2 linked regions of the Styela clava genome follow. The protein of the gene in region 2 purifies or fractionates together with the protein of the main gene of each other region. This does not show direct contact. Links are inferred from orthologs where the notes say so. Each region holds a gene or a part of one and is shown on either strand. Other genes may lie near its edges.

Region 1 (9,882 bases), on a different chromosome or scaffold from region 2:
TATATAATATTTTGAAAAAATATCCGATACAATTTTAATGAATCTGATACTAGCTGAGGATGTTGAAATAATCTTAGTGTAAAATGATTCAAAATTGACGATTATCAAAAATGAAGTCACTCCGAGCTTTCCAGTAAAACTGGCAGGATTCCGCTTCTTAAATTTTATGAATACATGATGAATTTGATAAAAAATTGATTCAAATTGAAAACTAATTGCGAGGAAAAATTCTAGTTACTATATTATTTGAAGATCCATACTACTTACCTTTTTGCAGGCGGAAGTAAGATTTCTGGACCAACTGGTTGACCCATGGCAGTCGTTGTTACTCTTTGTCTATCTGCGGCATTTAGAGCATGAATTGCAAATCTTTTCACATAATTTTCTAATATTTGAATAACATTGGGTCTTGCTGGGAGATTAATCAGCTGAAATATTGTAAAAAAAAAATGTCAATCATCTTCTTTATTTGCAAATATGTTATATATTTTAAAAGTGGCAAGATGAGCCTGAAATTTTAATATAACTTATTATTATGTAAAAAAATTTCATTTCAAGTTTATGTCACAAAAATGGCACTTTTTCCACGTTTCAAGACTGTCTATAGACAAATAACACCAGACACTGCAATTACAACTTCTAACGGTTTTAGCGTGAACAGATCGTAAATAAATTGTATATAAAGACAAATCCTATTCAGATAATATAAATAAATATTTATCCTCGTCTTTTGCTTTTGAATTTACAGTAAAATAAGGTTGCAAAAGTTATCCATTCAAAATTAAAATAAATGTAAGTAAATGTAAATTTAGGAAAGAATGGAGTGTTGGACTATTTGAAGTTACCATATTTCTTTTCTTCACCAAAGCATTATCTTCTTCTAGTCGTCTTTGTAGAGACAGTGGTATGTCAAGACTGACTAATCTACGTAAATGATGTTCATCTTTATTTGATGGATTATCTTCTTCAACGATATTATCATGATGATGTATGGAAGCAGTTCCAATTGTTGATGTACTGCTCAAACGAGGTCTTTTCTAAAATATAAATTTCAAACAAATGGTTATTTAAAATATTGAGCATGGTCAAGTATGAGCACAAAATAAAGAAAAATATGGCAAACGATGATATTGGAATGAGAATAGGGAACTCGTGAATTGTCTTTCATTCAAATAGTTGAATCTAAAGGACTAAGTTCATTTGAAAAATAAATTTTCGTGGGACCCTGTTAAACAAAAGAGAATAAAGAGTTTTATAATGCCCGACAAACTATAAATTATGAGCCAAAATTTCCCCTATCAGAAATCTTAAACCCTGCTTTACATTCAAACTAATTTATTCACTAGATATGACATAGTTTGAAAAAATATGATTCTCCTGTCAGAATTGGAAATATGCCCTACCTCAGGAGGAAAATCATCATCAGATTCTGATAATTTTTCTCTTGTTCCAGTACTTGTTGTGAAATCAGAATTAAAACTTTCTCCAGAGCTTGAATCTGTATCAATAAATATGTTGGTTATATCACTCCTCTGTTTAAAATATCACGCACAGGATGTATATTGGACACAAAGTGGAAATATGGACTAAATTGTGTTATGTCAACAAAATTAAAAACCGCACACTGTGTGGCGGTTCCCTGATCGGAATGATTTTTTGAGAAAACTTGCTCAAAGCAAGGTCACATACACTCACTCAGAATAAATATAATTTTGAGTGAAGTCAAGGGTGAGCAGTGGAAATGTCAAGAGCTCGTATACATGCTGGCAAATGCATTTTAATACAAGACAAGACTGATACGAGACAGTTTAATAAATTAACACAACATGAAAATAAGATGAAAAAACATTACCCGAGTTGTTTGGTATTTCAGCATCTGGCTTACTAGCAACTCCAGGTAGATGATGTCGTCTTCTGCCTTTCTGAAGTTTCCTGCCGTGTATTGAATAGGAAATATCTTATTTAATAAATATAAGTTATTTCTTGTGGATTGAAATTTGCATTGGGTAAAGCTGACCAGTTGTAACATTGGTCAGGTTCTTAGGACTGACGGTGGTAGCCCACGGTAATCAGTGTTTAGGATATCAATCGTGTGAATTTTATGCCACATTGTTTGCCATCAATCATCTATCTATATCAACAATGCACAACCTGCGGCCGTAAGGCCGCATGCGGCCGTCGTGACAAAATAATGCGGCCGTCCACATACAAAATCCTATGAACAAAAAAAAAGAGTTCAAAATATAGGATTTGGCGGCTATGATGGTGCAAAAAGAATGATGAACAGCTTGTGCAGACGTTTGAAGACGAGGAAAATCTGCTGGACACATGGAAATGCGCAGTTGAAGTGTGCGAAGCAACGTTTTCAAGAATGACGTACCTGAAGAATGACTACCGAACCAGATTGTTAGACATTTTATTATACTTTTGGGGACAAGAAAATGGGAGCGACCGCCCCTCCCCGACTTTCGATTTTTTTCAAAATCGTGCAACCATTATGCAACTTGCTGCAGTATATCTGCTCAAGAATAGGTCCACTGAAAAGAAAAATTCGTTTAAAATGCGAATATTATACTTCCAAGTAGTTCTACATACTTTATAATCGGGCAGACCGCACCTCGCTCGGGTCAAATACGCGGTTATGACATCATAAGAGCAAATAAATAAATAAAAAAATTTGCGGGCCTTCGGCGCGCTCATCAAACACGTTGCGGCCGTATTGAATACAAATAAATGCAAAGTGGCCGCCAAGAGCAAAAAGGTTGTGCACCCCTGATCTATATGAAATCATCTAATTTCAATAAAGCTTGATAATAACCTTGTTCAACATTTTAAAATAATCATTAGCATTACTGTTGACTTACAATTTCTTTATTGCTCTTCTGGCCAACTTTCTCTGAAGTTTTCTATTTTGATCATTATCTTTCAGAACAAATGATTCGTCAGCCCAACGATCCCATGCATGATTCCAACCCTACAACACATTGTTTGGAATTATGGTATACAGCATGCAAATAGCATATTGTACCAGTAGCATACTAAGTAGAAAGACATGAAAACAGGTGTAGTATGAATTTTCCGTGTAGTATCAGTATAGCAGTACTTAATAAGCAAATCACTGTTTGCACAATTTCTGAATCAAAACTAATTGAGGCTTTTTACCTGAAAATGTATTTTATACTCTACAAACTTCTTTCCTTTAATGTCCTTAATTACATCAGCATCCATGATCTAAAAGCATGATTATTACAGTATTAATAAGAGGTCAGAAGACTGACAAAATAGAAATAAAGGGGCCGAATTAAGACAATCACAATAAATTCGCGATCATTTAATTCAATAATAACTTGAATAATATTGAAATAAAAAGCAGATGTTTCAAGTTCAGTTTTATCCCTTCAAAAAAATTACATTTAATGAGTTCGATTATGGACATCTCAGCTTTTGCACTGAAAATAAAACCAACAATAACATGATGGAAATGATGTTGTTTATCTGCTCCCTATTTGCAGCTTTAAGTCTCCCACGAAATTAGACAAATCCTGAATACCGTACCGATCATACCTTGGCATTATACAAAACTCGGGCTTTCGTTTCATCTGGTTCAAAACATAAAACTTTTTCTCCTACGACATGCTTGAACTTCATGTTGCTTGTTCGATATATATAATGTGAACTTCAACTCTAATAACGTTTTGCATACGTGGACGGCACAAACAACAAGGAATTAATTTCAAAATAATTCCTGAACTCAGTTTCTCACTTTCCGACTTTGCTAGTCAGTCAGAAACAAGACAATTTCCTAACGAGAACTACAAAACGCTTTCTTTGCAATTCTGCAGGAAGTTCGCACAAATGTCCCCCAAACACGATTGTGGAATTTAGTTTTGCGAGAACGAAATTTTGCGCGAAGGTAGTTTGTGTACATCAGGGGTCGGCAAACTGCGGCCCGCGAACTAATTTTTTGCGGCCCGCAAACGTCCCGAGAACTTTAAATGCATAATACAAAAATTGATGATAAATTTATCGTTGTCTCCACATGGACTTGTGCGGTAACGAATGCAGCTGTACGGAGTTTTTCTGCAGCGTCAGCTATATATGAGTTTTATGTCATTTACTTGATGTTGGTTGTAATTTTAAATAAGTTTCTTTTGATTTTTAAAATATATGAATGGGAATTTTTTTTCTCTGGAAACGGAAGGAAGTTCGCGTTGAGGGTCGAACATTCCGAAGTTCTTAGACAAAAAATATTTTTCTTTCTTGCTCCGGACTCCATTATCCGGTCACCTACTAAGCGTGATGTTGCTATGGGATTTCAATATGTCAATATTGTTAGCGATTTAGGATAGGATAGGATTTAGGATTTCACTATCACATCAGCGCTTTCGGGCTTTTGCACTGGATCCGGTAATGTCTGAATGTAGTCAATATTGTGTTTATGTATCTTAATACAGATTTGCAGATAAAATGATTTCAGTTATTATTATTAATTGATATATTCACAAGCAAAAATGATTAGCAGTAAAGGAAGCTCTAGCCAAAATTCTGAAAGTCGAATTACAGAATTTAGTTAAGCATTGAATTAACATTTGCAGGACGGCTCCACCCCGCCGCTTTAAAGGTGTTTTTAACCACTGTTAAGGCAAATTTGTGGCATTGTTTGTTCTTTTTGATAATGCAAATAAAATTAAGAAATGTCTATTACGTTATATCCTCTTTTTTTTTAAATTGGGCATGGAATTAATTTATTCCACAGTAAATTCAAGTATTTTCACATGTCACGAATATTGTGCTGAACAAGAGCCTACGCAAGCATCCACTGGTTTCAAACAATTTATTATGAACTACAGATTTTCAAAGGACTAAAATCTTTTCGGCTCGGCATTGCCCACCTAATTAATTCAGTAATTACACCCTGGGTTTAAACACTGGCCGATTACAGAATTATGACTTTCCCCATGAAACCATCCATTTAAAATGAATTATTATCATGTCTAACCTGACTGGAAACTGACCGAGAAGCAGTGGTTAGCCAAGCGTTTTATTGGCTCAACCCTCTTCGGGGACAATATGAATCTTATCCTCAGTTAAATGCCTACCTATAATTTGAATACAAAAATAGTAATTAGTATATATCTTTGTTTCTATGACATGTCACATGTTTGTTTTGAACTAGTCTGTTAATAATGTGTGACTTCAATGTGATATATGATATAAGTGAGATACTGTTTCAACAGATTGGAGTATTTGTGTTTGGTGTAGCGTTCCCTTGGGCGATGTGGGCATGTGACTTGAACCTGTGATATCGGAGTTATTAACTTGAATGTTAAAATTGTTTTTTTCCACTTCTGAAACATCTTGATTTTATTACCTTCTTACCACCCTATAATAGTTTTTATATTTGTTTTGAGGGAGAGGTAATATAATTAGTTGGCAAGATGATATATCGTATAGCAAAACATAGTCTTCTATCCGGGTAATTACCGGTCGAAGTCGGGCACAGCAATTTGTGACTTGTTCTAGATTTGTGTATTTTTATAGGTAGAAAAGCCATATCTGACCAGCGTCGATGTTAATCACCTTTCAACTGCAAAGCATCGGGATGCTTGACAGCAATTCTAATGTATATACTTATCCTCGTGTGATTCGAACTTATGAATCAACTCAAGAGTAAATCCCAAAGCATAGCACGATGTGTCAATCGCCAAGCTTCTGGGCAAAGTTTTTTCGTAATATACATTTCAAAACAAAATTCCCATATTCAACATTTCTTTAACTTTTTATTATTCTAAAAACTCGCATTGACCTACATACAGCCGAACTTTCATCTACAATTATTGTACAAAATTTGTTGAAGGTTTGGCATCTATATCATTTATCAACTATTGAGCAAGATACAAAAATTCTATGTAAATTTGTATACTGTTTTACAGCTTCCACCTTATGCGGACTAAATTGACAAATTCTTAATTTTGAGTGATATCGAAAATTGTGCAAGCAAAATTTTGTACCTTTTGAACTCGAAAATTGTACCAAATAATTGAATAAATGCATAACTTTCTAGTTGCTTTTACCTAAGATCCAAAATGGTTTGCTATGATTACTGACTTTAATTCTAGTAATAATATGTTATGGGTGCGGTGGCCTAATGGTTGAAGCGTAGGTCCTAACAATGTTGGCATCTCATGTTGAAATCTTGGTTTGAATGGCCATGCCTACAATCTCACCCAGCATTTAATAAACTAAGTAGGTAGTGCAAAACTGGAAACATTTTGCCTCCGGAGCCTTCTTTGGAATGAAAAACATATAAAATGCTATATAAAAAATACATGGTTTCAGAATTTTATATTTCACAGTTGTGTTGGGATACACTCACTAGCGTACATTTGAGAGATTATGTAACATCTATATTTACTGTCATTTTATGGTAAACCTGATTTATTGATTTGAAAATTATGCAAAAAATGATAAACATTTGGATAGTTCGGCTATTGCTATGCACCAGTAAATCAATATTATATAAAAAAAATAAATATATATATATTGCAAACTAATTGCATTTATTTTGTTCTCTATCTTGGCATTATTGATATGTTTATATGAAATTGAAGCGATATTTTAAAAATGATAATAATGATATAAAACATCAGATTCTTGCTGATCCACGTTGAAGAATTTTCATAGTTTTTTAATTGCTTTGTCAAAATTAAAATAGTTCATAGCATAAAACATATCAATTTCTTATTATATATGTTTTAGGATATTGCACATGTTCCAGTTAGAAGTGCAATCTACATTTACTATGACATAGCATACTACTTTGTCTTCGTAATTCACTCATCTCTCATCATTATCACTGACCGACAGAATGACAACTTCATCAAGTTTGCAGGAAGCAGTTGCTTACAAACTGTAAGTAACATAAATTCAAATTTATTTAGATCGAAAAGTTGTTTAGTATTAAAATGAATCAGACTCAAAATATACGTATTGTCATTTCAATAAAGTGTTTTTAGGTTTTTTATGTTTACAAATACTCCATATATATTATTAATATTCATATTTGAATTCATATTTTAATATTGATTTTTACAATTCATTTTTAAATTTTAAAACGATTTACCCAGCATCCTTATATATCTCAAATTATCATTATGATGGAATAATATTCTTCTACAACCTTTGATATTAAGCAGCATAATTTCAATAATATAATAATGTTTTTATGATTACCTGGATTCTAATGTTACAATTGTCTTTTTTTGCGTTATATTATTTTATTTTTTAATTATTCAGAAAACATTACATGAATGTGAAAAGAAGAGAAGATGGTTTCGATCTATCATCACCAAATTCTCCAGTGTCAGGAGGATCTTACAATGGTGGACATAAAACGGTAAAGTTTCTACTTTGGTTTATATTTTGTAATGCAAATTTATTATATATTTCTTCAGTGTTCCGTATCTTTGTTTTTAAAAAGTCTGTATTTAAATAGCCACCGATAAAGTATTTGCTTACTGTAAAATATGGAGTAAAATTGCTTGTGTTATAAATATTTTTGTTTTATATGACTTACTGCCTCAACCATCATTATTATTACTGAAATTATCTTTATATCAATCTTACTAAACAATATATATCAAATTCACCACATTTTTTTAATAATTCAAGTTTGGATTAGGATTTCCAATTATTAATCTAATCAGAACAAGCACTTTGCAATATCTGGTTGTCAGTCCATATCAGATTGGTGTATAATTTCAAAATAAATCAAATTTTTCAACATGGTTTACAACAAGCAAAGTTCTTTTATGTTATAGTCATGCTAGATGTCAATATGGCATCCTTTTCGGAAAAATATTTTCAACAACGATCTGAAAAGTCATGTTTGAGTTTCATCTGACCACTTAAAGTGTCATAATTATAATCAGTTTATCACAAAGCAACGTTCTGTTTTCTCGTTATTCGGAAGGATTGGTTTGTTGAATGTCAATATGTGCATAGCACTGTAAACACCAGAATGATTTTCTTATATTTTTAAGCTTACTAGGGTCTGTTGCTCCTAGAAACCATTTATTCATTTAATATCAAATATATGGATTGCTAATAACATGTTATTGATCAAGTATGGTATATGGTGTTAAACCTTTATTTAGTGTGTATAACCTATGATTCATACTTGATTGGTGTTATATGAAATAATATTTCTCCTACCCGTCAATATCAGTAATTACATTGCAATAGCTTTTGTTAATCTGATTTTAGATATATTGAAAATTGGATATGATTTTCCGAAAGCTGATAACTACTTTGCAATTAATTATTCTTTGTCATAATTCATTCTACTCTGAGAAAATTATGATCACTCACACAGTCACATTATTCAATTATTTATATACCATGACATAATATAAGGGAATTTGTTTTGAAGCATCATAATCTTGACCTCCTTTGTAATATAGTCTGTGTCATTCGTTGAATGTGGATTTGTGAGTTAAAATTCGGAACTGTGATTTAATTCAAACTTGGTATACACTGCCCAGACCATGCATTTAATATGCTTATTTGGTCTTCATTTTTTTTTCTTTTTTTCTTTGTAGCATTCAACGGTGAATTATGCGAAACTACAAGACAGAAGCTTAAAACATTATTTCACTCCACAAATGATTCGAACTCAGATTGCAAATTTGGAAGCAATGCCACCTGGTACAAAACGGGAGAAAGACGTGAAACATAATATGCGGAGAACAATGAGAAAAAGAACAACTTTTGAGGTTACAAATTATTTACTTTTCATTTATTTCGTCGAACGTTTTGAAGTACTCCATCGCGCCCAAAGCTTTTTGACACTGACATCATGTTAAAAAACATTTGCTCCTACTCTCGATTTAAAAAAAATATTGGATAGGAAATCTCGCTGTTCGCTGGCGTTTTTTTCATTCCATTTGAATACTCTGAGTCTGGCTTCCAGCTTTTAATAAATGGGAAGTGAATTTACAACTCCCAAACGAAATGGTAGTACCAAACCCCAGACTTCAAATCAGAAGTCTGCGTCAAAACTGTTTACAGATTGAGACAAAAATGTAACTCTTGTAATATGGACTTTCAACATTTATCAAGTTTGGATACATGGAAATACCTGTATCAAGGACCATCTTAAATTCAATACTTATATTATGAATATTTCAGTAGGTGCAGAGGGTATGATATAATCATTCAGCGCTATGCTTTGAACTCGATTTAAATTTATTTAGTATGGCCTTGATAAGCTACAATATCAGTTTATTCGTAACATAGCAACGCATTGAAAAATCAATTACCAGCATCTGATGTTTGTGGAAACATAGAAGCTTAGTCATGTTTGAATTTGCAGCATCAGATGTCAAACATGTATTTCAAGAAAACAGTAAACATGTCATAAAACTTGAGATGTTTGTTCTGCCAACTCAGCTAATAATCTTAAACTTTTACATAGACAAACAAATGTGCGTGTCATGCTTGGTTTGTCCGTCATAAATTCAAGAAGCTTGGTAATCTGTAAATACTTTTTGAATGACACTTTATCGCATTGTTACCTCATCCCGTAAAACATAATTTATTGAATCGTTTGATTTATTTTGGTTGTTTAAATATGTCTGTAATATATTTGTTCAATCATTTGAAAACGTTGACCTTGGCATATGGTGATTAATTAAAATAAATCAGTGAATTAATCATAATTTCCTTGTGTTACTTATGGTGACAGTGGTTTTGTTTTATGTGGCATTTGTGTTACATGCCTATTGAATAATTGTTAGAGTTAACACCTGCTTTTACTGTCAATGGTACTTTCTGAATTTAAGCAAGCTGTCACAGTCATTACGTACTTATCGACCTTGATCA
Region 2 (9,573 bases):
ATATTTTAACACTTTCCTTTCGACTAAAATTCTTCAAGAAGTATATCAATTTCATATGCAAGGTGTCTTGCCTAGTTATTCGATTTTTGAAGAGGCTGAAAATTTTTTTAAATGGCAAGAAATACTATACTACTATATTGTAGCACTATATCATTTCAAACTTCATGTTTGAAATAGACACCATCCTGCCATCTGTATTGCCCGACATAATTTTATCAGATGACCTAAGAACTTATTATCATCTTGCATTCGGATGCTGAATAATGACCAGAGAATCAGAATCAATATCTTGAATAATATGATCCATAATAAGTCCGTAAAATTTATCATTTTCTGTGAATGTCATGTGATTAAAATTCACTGGTTGATATTTCCAACCTAAGAAAAAATTACATCTTGAACAAGCAGAAATTCTCCATGAATATCCAGGAAACCAAGTCGCTTCTGTATGTGCGTCTTCATTTGATGTTACAGAGGCTTCAGAAAAAGTTACAACTTCAAATTGAGCACCTTGTGGATTTTCAAATTTTTGTGTAGTTATATGTGGCTTTCCTAAAATTGTTTTGTTCCACCTTTGAAGTGCAAGTTTACTTGGAATGGAAACAAGATCTTCAGCTTGAGCCACAGTTTCACCACATCGTTTGCATATGAACTTGCCAGTTTGGGTACGATGACTTAAGCCAAGTGAAGTCACATACATAATTACAACAAAATAAAAGTTCCACATATTCACAATACAGTGTATCTAGTGTTTCCACTACGACTTAATGCCACAACAGTAAGTTTTACCTGAAATCATACAAAGAATATAGGAAATCTACTAAGTATTTGCAATGTAATTGGCTACGACCAAAATACAATAATTTAATTCATTCATTTGTATGTAAGTTAGACCTTCTGTTATTTATGATTGAGTAAAAAAGCCTCAATAGTATTGCGAAAAGGGACAGGACTGCGAAGAGATTATAGCTTAATCATAAAGACCATTGTGCAAAAAAGTTGCTCTGATGTGGGGAAAATAAAATATAATTTTCTTAACCAAATAATTTGATTTAAATCAGAAATTTTTCCTAGAATTGATCCAAGTGGTTTTCTTCTGGAGCTCCAGCTACATATTTCATTTTGGATAGGCAATGTCAAAGGTCACGTCCCAAACAAATTGGTTCTATATGATAAGGAATACAGGAATAGTTATGTCGGCACATCCCACAGCAGCATTAAATCACCCACCAAAGTTACTTTAGCCTACAATATCATGGCGATCAGAGGTTTAAACATGCATATATTTATGGCAGTTTCAACAAGCATACCTAATGAAATTAGTTATGGGGCTAATAACATGATCTTTAACATCAAAACCAATCTCCACAATCAAATGTGCCACGGTAAACTACACTAAGAACTTGGGTAACCAGAATTGTGGGGTAGCTTAATACAAATTGTAAAAAATTAAAATTGACTGCTTGAGATAAATTTATCAACATGCAAAAGAATTATAGTCAACATTTTAGAAAGCCAAGTGATATATATATTTAATATAGCCAAGTCATATGAGGAATAAGCTCAATATTTAGTGTTCCCATCCTAAGTTAATACAGTGTGGGGACTGGGGAATGTTTCAATTTCATCTGCATTTCTGCATGATTATACTGTTTTCATCTGTGATCACTAAAATGTTTTTCAGATATGAAACAGCAAAACTTTTTAACATTGCAACAGGAAATCTTCCAATTTTCTTGGTAAATTTAAGCAGGTAATATGTTTGGAACAAATGAGGCCTTTGACTTTAATTATATAGCAGCGTATCACCCATCTGGTTAAATCAACCAAGGATGGAACATTTTGAACTAGAATTCCATGCAGAAGATCATCAACATTTGCAACCACCAATGGCAATGAACTATTATGTGAAATCGATAAAAATGGAAAATATCTCAAACAAAGTGATATTTTGGATAGATTTCTCAGATAATGCGGATACCGACTATTTAGGATTAAGCGATCTTGTAAAACTTTATGTCCGCTGATTGAATATGATAAGTTAGGAAATGTTTCACAGTTGAATCGTAATTCCAGTAGTCCTGCATTCAAAAACTCATTTAGGACCACAATATTAACGTCATTAAATCTCATGGGCAAAATAAAATATTTAAAATACAAATGTTCTTCCCTTCTCGCAAGATCCGAAAATAAAGTATCATTTTCAATAAGTATTTTAACAGTACTTGAGAAACTTTCAAAACCATTGTTGTGGCCTAATAAAATATCCCATACGCTTTCACCTGCAATTTTAATATCCGAATGGAAAGTTGAATATCCTTTTCTGAATAAATATAATAAACAATCATTGTGCCTATTAAAAGCACTCAAAATAACTGCAGAAATACAACAATCTTTCGGAGTAATTTTTGCAAGCAATTTAACAACGGGAAAATGTCCTTTTTCAGCTGCTACTGTTAATGGAAAACTTTTTAAGCCCATATGATCAATATACATGCACTTTAATGGATCAGCACCTTTGTTTAACAGCAACCGTACTATATTTTCATTTCCATTTTGCGCAGCTAAATATAAGGGCGTACAATCTGTGATATCAGTTGCATTCACATCCTTAACTTCATTGATCAAAAGTTTCACAATCTCTTCATTTTCAATAGAAACTGCCACATGTAATGGTGTCTTCAAGTCATCTGAATCTTGCACATTTACATCAGCCCCATTTTGTATTAAAAATTTTGTTGCTTGAATATTTTCTTTTTCAACAATTACATGTATTGGATAATCACCACTTCGGGAATCCTTCATGTTAACATGCATTGGGAATTCATCAACTAGAATTTCAATACATTTATTATGCCCATTTTTGCAGGATTCATGGAGAGGATATCCCATTTTGTCAATTCCCAATTCCGATTCTTTGTACAAGCTCATGAGATGTTTAACAACTTCAACATGGCCTTCACTAGAAGCAATAGATAACGGTGTTTCTCCATCAAAAGCAGGTGGGAATACACAATCCAAAATCTCTCTGGTAGATTCGCAATCTGACATTGCCGTTTCCAAAAGTATTTTAACACACTCGATATGACCGCCAAATGCTGCTTCATGCATAGGATACCATCCCCTGTTATCTTTGATCGTGTAATCCAACCCCTTCATCAAAAGTTCATGCAAAACTTGAGAGTTTCCTGCCCTGGATGCTGCTCCAATGCTTGAACAGGCATCTGGGTATGCAGATGCAAACACATCCATATGACTTTATAAAATGATTGCTGCAAAGGTATATGGAACCCTGAATATACATATATGTTGCAGATTTAATCATGTGGTGGTGAAGCCTAAGTGTAAATGAAACTTCTTCATAGTTGATCAAAAAATAATGGAAGGCTGAAATTTAAGAAAACAAATTGAAATTTTTTGATTTTACTGGTATAGCATAAATTTGATACAAAACAAAATTGCAGTATTTAAATAAAAAAGGATGGATTTTTCAGAATAAATCAATCACAAAATTCATACATGCTGAATCATTTACAGATAGAGTTGGGGTATATGCTTGCAGATTTTAATCCAAAAATTATTTTTTTGATTGTTTGTATGAGTGCCCTGTCACTCAATTTTTGCATATATCAATCCCAACCCCCACCTGACTGCGTTATCCGAAAATTATGTTACTACAACGTCACAGTGACATAATAAAGCCCTTCAGACTATATGAACTGTCATCAAAGACGCGCAGACAATCACCCAAAATCGAGCAAGCTATTTCTCGTCACAGTGCCCGCAGTGATTCCAATATGAGAGAAGTAGTAAGTTCTTTATCGTCGGCACAGATGTCATTTCAGGCGATCATATGTATACTTTGGCAAGCTCTATGACATGATTGTGATGGCGTAGTGATGTGATTTTTGGATGGCGAAGTCAGGAAGTCAAAAATCGTTATGCTACGCCCACTAGAAGTACTTGAGGTAGGAAAATACCTGAGACCCTGTTCATTGTTTTGTTCGAGAATATGTGAGACGATACGTCTACATACTGACATAATGCAGTAATGTGTAATGCTGCAATGTGTAAGTTAATGATCTCCTATTCTTATAAAACTGTAATATTACTCTCTTTTCAGCTTTTATAATCTCAGAATCTCTTACTGTTGTACTGTCTTATAAAATTTATGCTTACTGGCAAACTGGATTAGGTAGCCTACCACAATTGTTCAGGTTGGATGAGGTTTGTTTTCTTTCTTCTTCGAACTGTCAAGTCAATGCTCAAGGCTAGTAAATGTGTTTAAAAACTCATTTTAGCTTTTGCTCAGTTCAAACAGTCAAAAATTCTTCGCTTTTATCCAGTTATCTTATTCGTGTAATGTTTTATCTTTGTGAACAAATCCATGGATAGATTCGGTAGATAGTTTATTCGAACACTCCATACTGCCATAATACTATAATATACACAAATTTAAAGTGGAGAATTCTGGAAATTATTTTGATTAAATAACTACCTAGTAACTATATACTATACTGCTATAACTGGTACTGAACTACAGAATTACGGTACCGTACTCAACTCTTTGCGTATTCTTGTCAAGATAATTAAGGTACCGGTAACAGAGGACAAGAGGAAGAACAGAAAGAGTTGTCTGGTTGTAGAGGAAGAACAGCTGCTGTCCACTCCACACTAGTCTAAAATTTGTGATTAGACTACCGGTACTTGATAATAACATTTCCAGATTTCTGTGAGAGTTCCCCTCCTACATTCGTACCGGTACTGAATGGCTCACGCTTTTAAACTGAATGTGCAATAGTGCAAAACGCGATATTGCAAATAGTGCAAAACGATACACTTGTGCTGTACACAGATATACCGGTACCGTATGTAATATTACCGATAATTTAGTAAAAAAAATACCTTGCTCACTAAATGAAATATGGTTGTTTTCTCAACCTTTGACCCTATAAAAATATTTCCTAGACGTCACAATTAATGTTCCCCCGAGAGTGAGAGAGAGAAAGAGCTATTTTTTTTTTTGTTTATTTCTAGAAAAAGGTGCAATCAGTAATAAAGCAACGATGGCTTATTAATAAAAATCTGTACAGTTGCACTGATATTTCTTTCGCTCCAGATTTGTCAATTTATTTTGTGTTTCAATGAACATTTTTTACGTGTATGAACCATCTGCAATTTCGTCAACAAAGTCCAGAAATCAAAGAACGGGTAATTAGTCTTGGCGGGCAAATGTGTCGTTGGCTTAGTTAGCTTATTCTCAGGAGTGGAACTTGGCAGACATTTGGATATTTTCGATATATTCCGTGGAACTTCCTACTTCCCGTATGGTAAGGTTTTTTCATATGTTTTATATATGTCTAACGGAATTAATGTGTTCGTTAATTCGACGAAAAAAATTATTCCTCGCATAAATTTTTGTAGGCTTTATCTCCCGAACTCAGTTACAGTGACGATTTCGTCGATAAAATGAGGGGAAATTTTCTACTTTTAATCAGTGAGTTTTTAAAATTTTAATATTTGTTTCATACGGTATGTGTCTACCAAAAAATACTGTTTATGAATTTGACAGTTAGATGAGAAAAACATATTTCTTGCATTTTGTCCATATTTTTGATAAGTTGGGGGGAAATTCCCTACTTTCGGCACGCTGAATTTTTTTTAAATTTGAATATGTGTTTTATATATGTCTATCAGAGTTACAGTGTTTATAAATTTGATCAGAAAATATTTATCATGTCTTAAACCAGTTTAATAAACTATTTTATTGATATTTTCGATATATTGGAGAAAATTTTTGATTTCCAAACATTAATTCGCTTGACCGGGTGAAAAATGTTTTAATCATACTCTTTTATTATATTTCTCGTCTTTCTTTGTTTTGAAAAAGTGGGATCGCCTCGTTAATCGCAATCATCGTGTAGATCAGCGTTGTCCAACCTTTTGGGCTAAAGGGCCACATTTGGTTTACGAATGATTGGGCGGGCCACTTGCAATGGCAGTTATGTTCTAGTTTGCACCACGCCGACTACGGATCAATGAAAAAACAAACAAAACCCCCAAACTAAACTTATAAGAACAATGAAAATACAAAGATACAGTAAAATCAAAAGTTTTTACCACACATAGATATTTCAATATGAAGTATGGCACTGCTTTTATCTAATATGTTTGTCAATATTCGTTGCGACGGGCGATGTAGCAATGCAGAGAGAATTTTTCTGAATGACTGTCGGAATTTAGTGATCTCACGGATGATATGACATGGTTCATCCGTGAAAAAACTTGCTCGTATAAGTAAGTGCTGTCTAATATTGAGATCATAAAAAACTGCCTCTTCTAGCTTCACAGAAAAAAAACAGATTGAAATATATGACAAACAATAAAAATAAATTCAAACATCTCTCTCCAGCAATAACGCCCACAAAGTGACATAAAAAGGGACGATAGGTGTGTGGTGTTTCTCACGCATTAGAACGACAAGGAATACTTTTGTTATTAGACTTTCAATAATGGCTCAGATTTGTGAAAGACGATGGGATTCAAATATTACCGCGTGGACCACGGGTTGGACGACCCTGGTGTAGATAATCTGTCACAAAACAATTAAATATATTTAAATCTAAAAGTTTTAGGAATGATTGAATTGAAAAATTCATATGTGGGTGGTTTCTCCCTTCTTTCAAACAATTCTTTAATCCTATATATACAGCTATAATTTAATTGCATTCTGTTTTACAGCCTTCAAAAAAAATTTGATTACTAAATAGGTAATAAGTATGAGTGATAATCCTCCACCAACTTCTGTAGAAAACAGTTCTGTGACAGATATAAAATGTGAAGATGCTTCTACTCCATCAATAAATACAAATCCATTAAAAAAACTTCCTGTCAAAGATGACAAAATTAAACTAAATCAGCATTATTATTGCATGCGAAGTGATGATACATGGCACAATGCAGAAGTTCTTCAAACAAGAGTGAATGCATTACATGACGATAGACATGAATATTATGTGCATTATCACGGCTTGAACAGAAGACTAGATGAGTGGGTTGAGTCTTCTCGTATTGATACTGCGAGAGTCGTTCCTGAGAGTGATATTGAAGCTGTAAAAGATGGTGATGCAAAAGATGGGGCTGATAATCGTATGACAAGAAATCAAAAGCGGAAACATGATGAGATTAATCATGTTCAAAAATCCTATGCAGAAATGGATCCGACGACTGCAGCATTAGAGAGGGAGCACGAAGCTATCACCAAAGTGAAGTATATTGACCGAATTCATATGGGGAAATATGAAATTGAAGCGTGGTACTTCTCACCTTATCCTGACGAATATGGAAAGCAACCCAAATTATACATATGTGAATATTGCTTGAAATATATGAAATTTGAAATAACCTACAGACGGCATTTAGGAGAATGTGAATGGCGACAACCTCCCGGCAAAGAAATTTATCGTCGAGGGAATATTTCGGTTTATGAAGCTGATGGAAAAGAACATAAAATATACTGTCAGAATTTATGTTTGCTAGCAAAGTTATTTCTTGATCATAAAACTCTTTACTTTGATGTGGAACCATTTCTTTTCTATATCCTTACAGAGGTTGACCAGTATGGTGCACACGTTGTTGGGTATTTTTCAAAAGAGAAAGAATCTCCTGATGGAAATAATCTTGCTTGCATTTTAATATTGCCACCATTCCAGCGAAAGGGTTATGGAAAATTCTTGATAGCCTTCAGTTACGAATTATCAAAAGCAGAACATCTTATCGGATCTCCAGAAAAGCCGTTATCAGACTTGGGAAAGCTGAGCTACAGGAGTTACTGGTCTTGGGTTTTATTGGAGATTCTGAGAGATTTTAGGTAAGAATGCTGATGCCAGTTGCGAATTGTGTCCTCGTTTCGAATATTATTTTTTTTGTAAAACAAAATTATGATATAGTATGGTTTCTCGCAAAACAGCTTTCAACCCATTAGCTGGATTGTGACATGATACTGTGGGTGTTTAGACAGCCAACAATTGAATTTAGAGTTGCCTCAAAACTGCTTTGAATATGAATCGATATGAAATAAGTGAAAAATCATTGTTGGAGTCTGTGCGATTCAGACACATATAAAAGGATGGAGCCCTATTACAAAGTCATTTAAAAATTATTATGTTTCACAACTATTCCACCCTGTTTTTATGTCACTGTTGCATTTTGTTTTATGTACTTTTTTGTCCTGTATTGGTCGAGTTTGTTAGAAAATTGTTGTAAATATACTTTTATGAGGAATGGCTAGCTAGTTAGTTGTCTATTTATTGAACTGGAGGACAATGGTCTATCATTTATTTGAGTCATCTTATATCAGTTTTTCACCTTTTAAATTCTGCCGACAATTATTTATATTTAGAATGATCATTATGTTATTCATGTTTACAGGGGAACTCTATCAATCAAGGATCTGAGTGAAATGACAAGTATCACACAAGCGGATATCATTTCTGCATTGCAGTCTCTCAACATGGTAAAATATTGGAAAGGACAACATGTTGTCTGTGTCACACCAAAACACATTGAGGAACATATGAAATCACAGCTGATCAAAAGGCCACGAATTCCTGTGGACAAAACATTCATGAGATGGCAGCCTCCAAAGAGAAAGCCAGGTGTGAAAAAGGAAGGTATCCACCACAAAAAATGAAGACTGTCAACTGTTGACAAAACTATATGAACTAATTACAGAATACATGTGAGGCATTCTGACTGAATCTTTTCATATTGCCAATCGCCATTATTTTATTAAACTGCTTTTCACTGTCTTTGTTGTACTCAAATATCTTGTTGAAGATGTTAACACAGGAAGTCTGTTTATTCTGGACTCCGGGGCTCGACACCATGAACTGAAATAAAACACAAGAAACTTTCAATCTATTACTCATCCAACAGGGCAGGAATAATTTCACACAGAGGATACACCTACCGAAGGGGGGTCTGCTTATTTTTGGGCTCCATATAAAACCATAACTATAGCATTGATAGCAGTATAAACTGAAACAAAGCACAAGAATTTTGTTGTATTTTTCATCCATGAAACTTGGATATTACTATATGCAGAGGTCACCTACTTGCATGATAGTCAGGGGATAGATTCTCCAGAGAGATATTAATTGGGTGTAGCTGGCGAGGTGTGAAAAATGATCCTGCAGACATCAGACCAGGTGAAATTCTGTTGTGGGTAAATAGTATTCTTAATTCCCCAAGCAGGCGCTATTTGACATATTTTGGCTCTAAATGTACACGGACGGGCAGTCAAGACTAACCATTGAAATGCATGGAACTGCGCATATTAAACAAAATGCATGCAACACCAAACATTCCTTTGAAACTTCTCTAATGTAATACCCATCATTCATACACTTTTATATTCAAGAATGTAATTTAGTAATAAAAGGTGTGAAAAATGATCCTACAGACCAGGTGAAATTCTGTTGTGGGCTCGGCAAATAGTATTCTTAATTCCCCAAGCAGGCGCTATTTGACATATTTTGGCTCTAAATGTACACGGACGGGCAGTCAAGACTA

The links.
Region 1: the proteins of histone acetyltransferase KAT8-like (region 2) and MSL complex subunit 3-like purify together in Homo sapiens (affinity purification with mass spectrometry; 4 studies listed by BioGRID and IntAct, with this or other methods). This does not show direct contact. The link is inferred for Styela clava from reciprocal best matches to the Homo sapiens genes KAT8 and MSL3.

What each region holds. Positions count from the first base shown.
Region 1 is NC_135263.1:16,398,962-16,408,843, forward strand, and holds the start of MSL complex subunit 3-like, read right to left. Parts: upstream 3,870-9,882; 5' UTR 3,649-3,869; coding exon 3,565-3,648; intron 3,232-3,564; coding exon 3,163-3,231; intron 2,975-3,162; coding exon 2,865-2,974; intron 1,933-2,864; coding exon 1,853-1,932; intron 1,499-1,852; coding exon 1,404-1,498; intron 1,038-1,403; coding exon 846-1,037; intron 429-845; coding exon 268-428; intron 1-267. Other genes in the region: uncharacterized protein LOC120341242, read left to right, coding at 6,869-6,912, 7,297-7,396, 8,601-8,774. UniProt on the Homo sapiens protein: Non-catalytic component of the MSL histone acetyltransferase complex, a multiprotein complex that mediates the majority of histone H4 acetylation at 'Lys-16' (H4K16ac), an epigenetic mark that prevents chromatin compaction.
Region 2 is NC_135255.1:8,354,185-8,363,757, reverse strand, and holds histone acetyltransferase KAT8-like, read left to right. Parts: upstream 1-5,191; 5' UTR 5,192-5,330; intron 5,331-6,741; 5' UTR 6,742-6,779; coding exon 6,780-7,870; intron 7,871-8,430; coding exon 8,431-8,692; 3' UTR 8,693-9,561; downstream 9,562-9,573. Other genes in the region: protein cereblon-like, read right to left, coding at 239-727; uncharacterized protein LOC120331723, read right to left, coding at 1,705-3,252.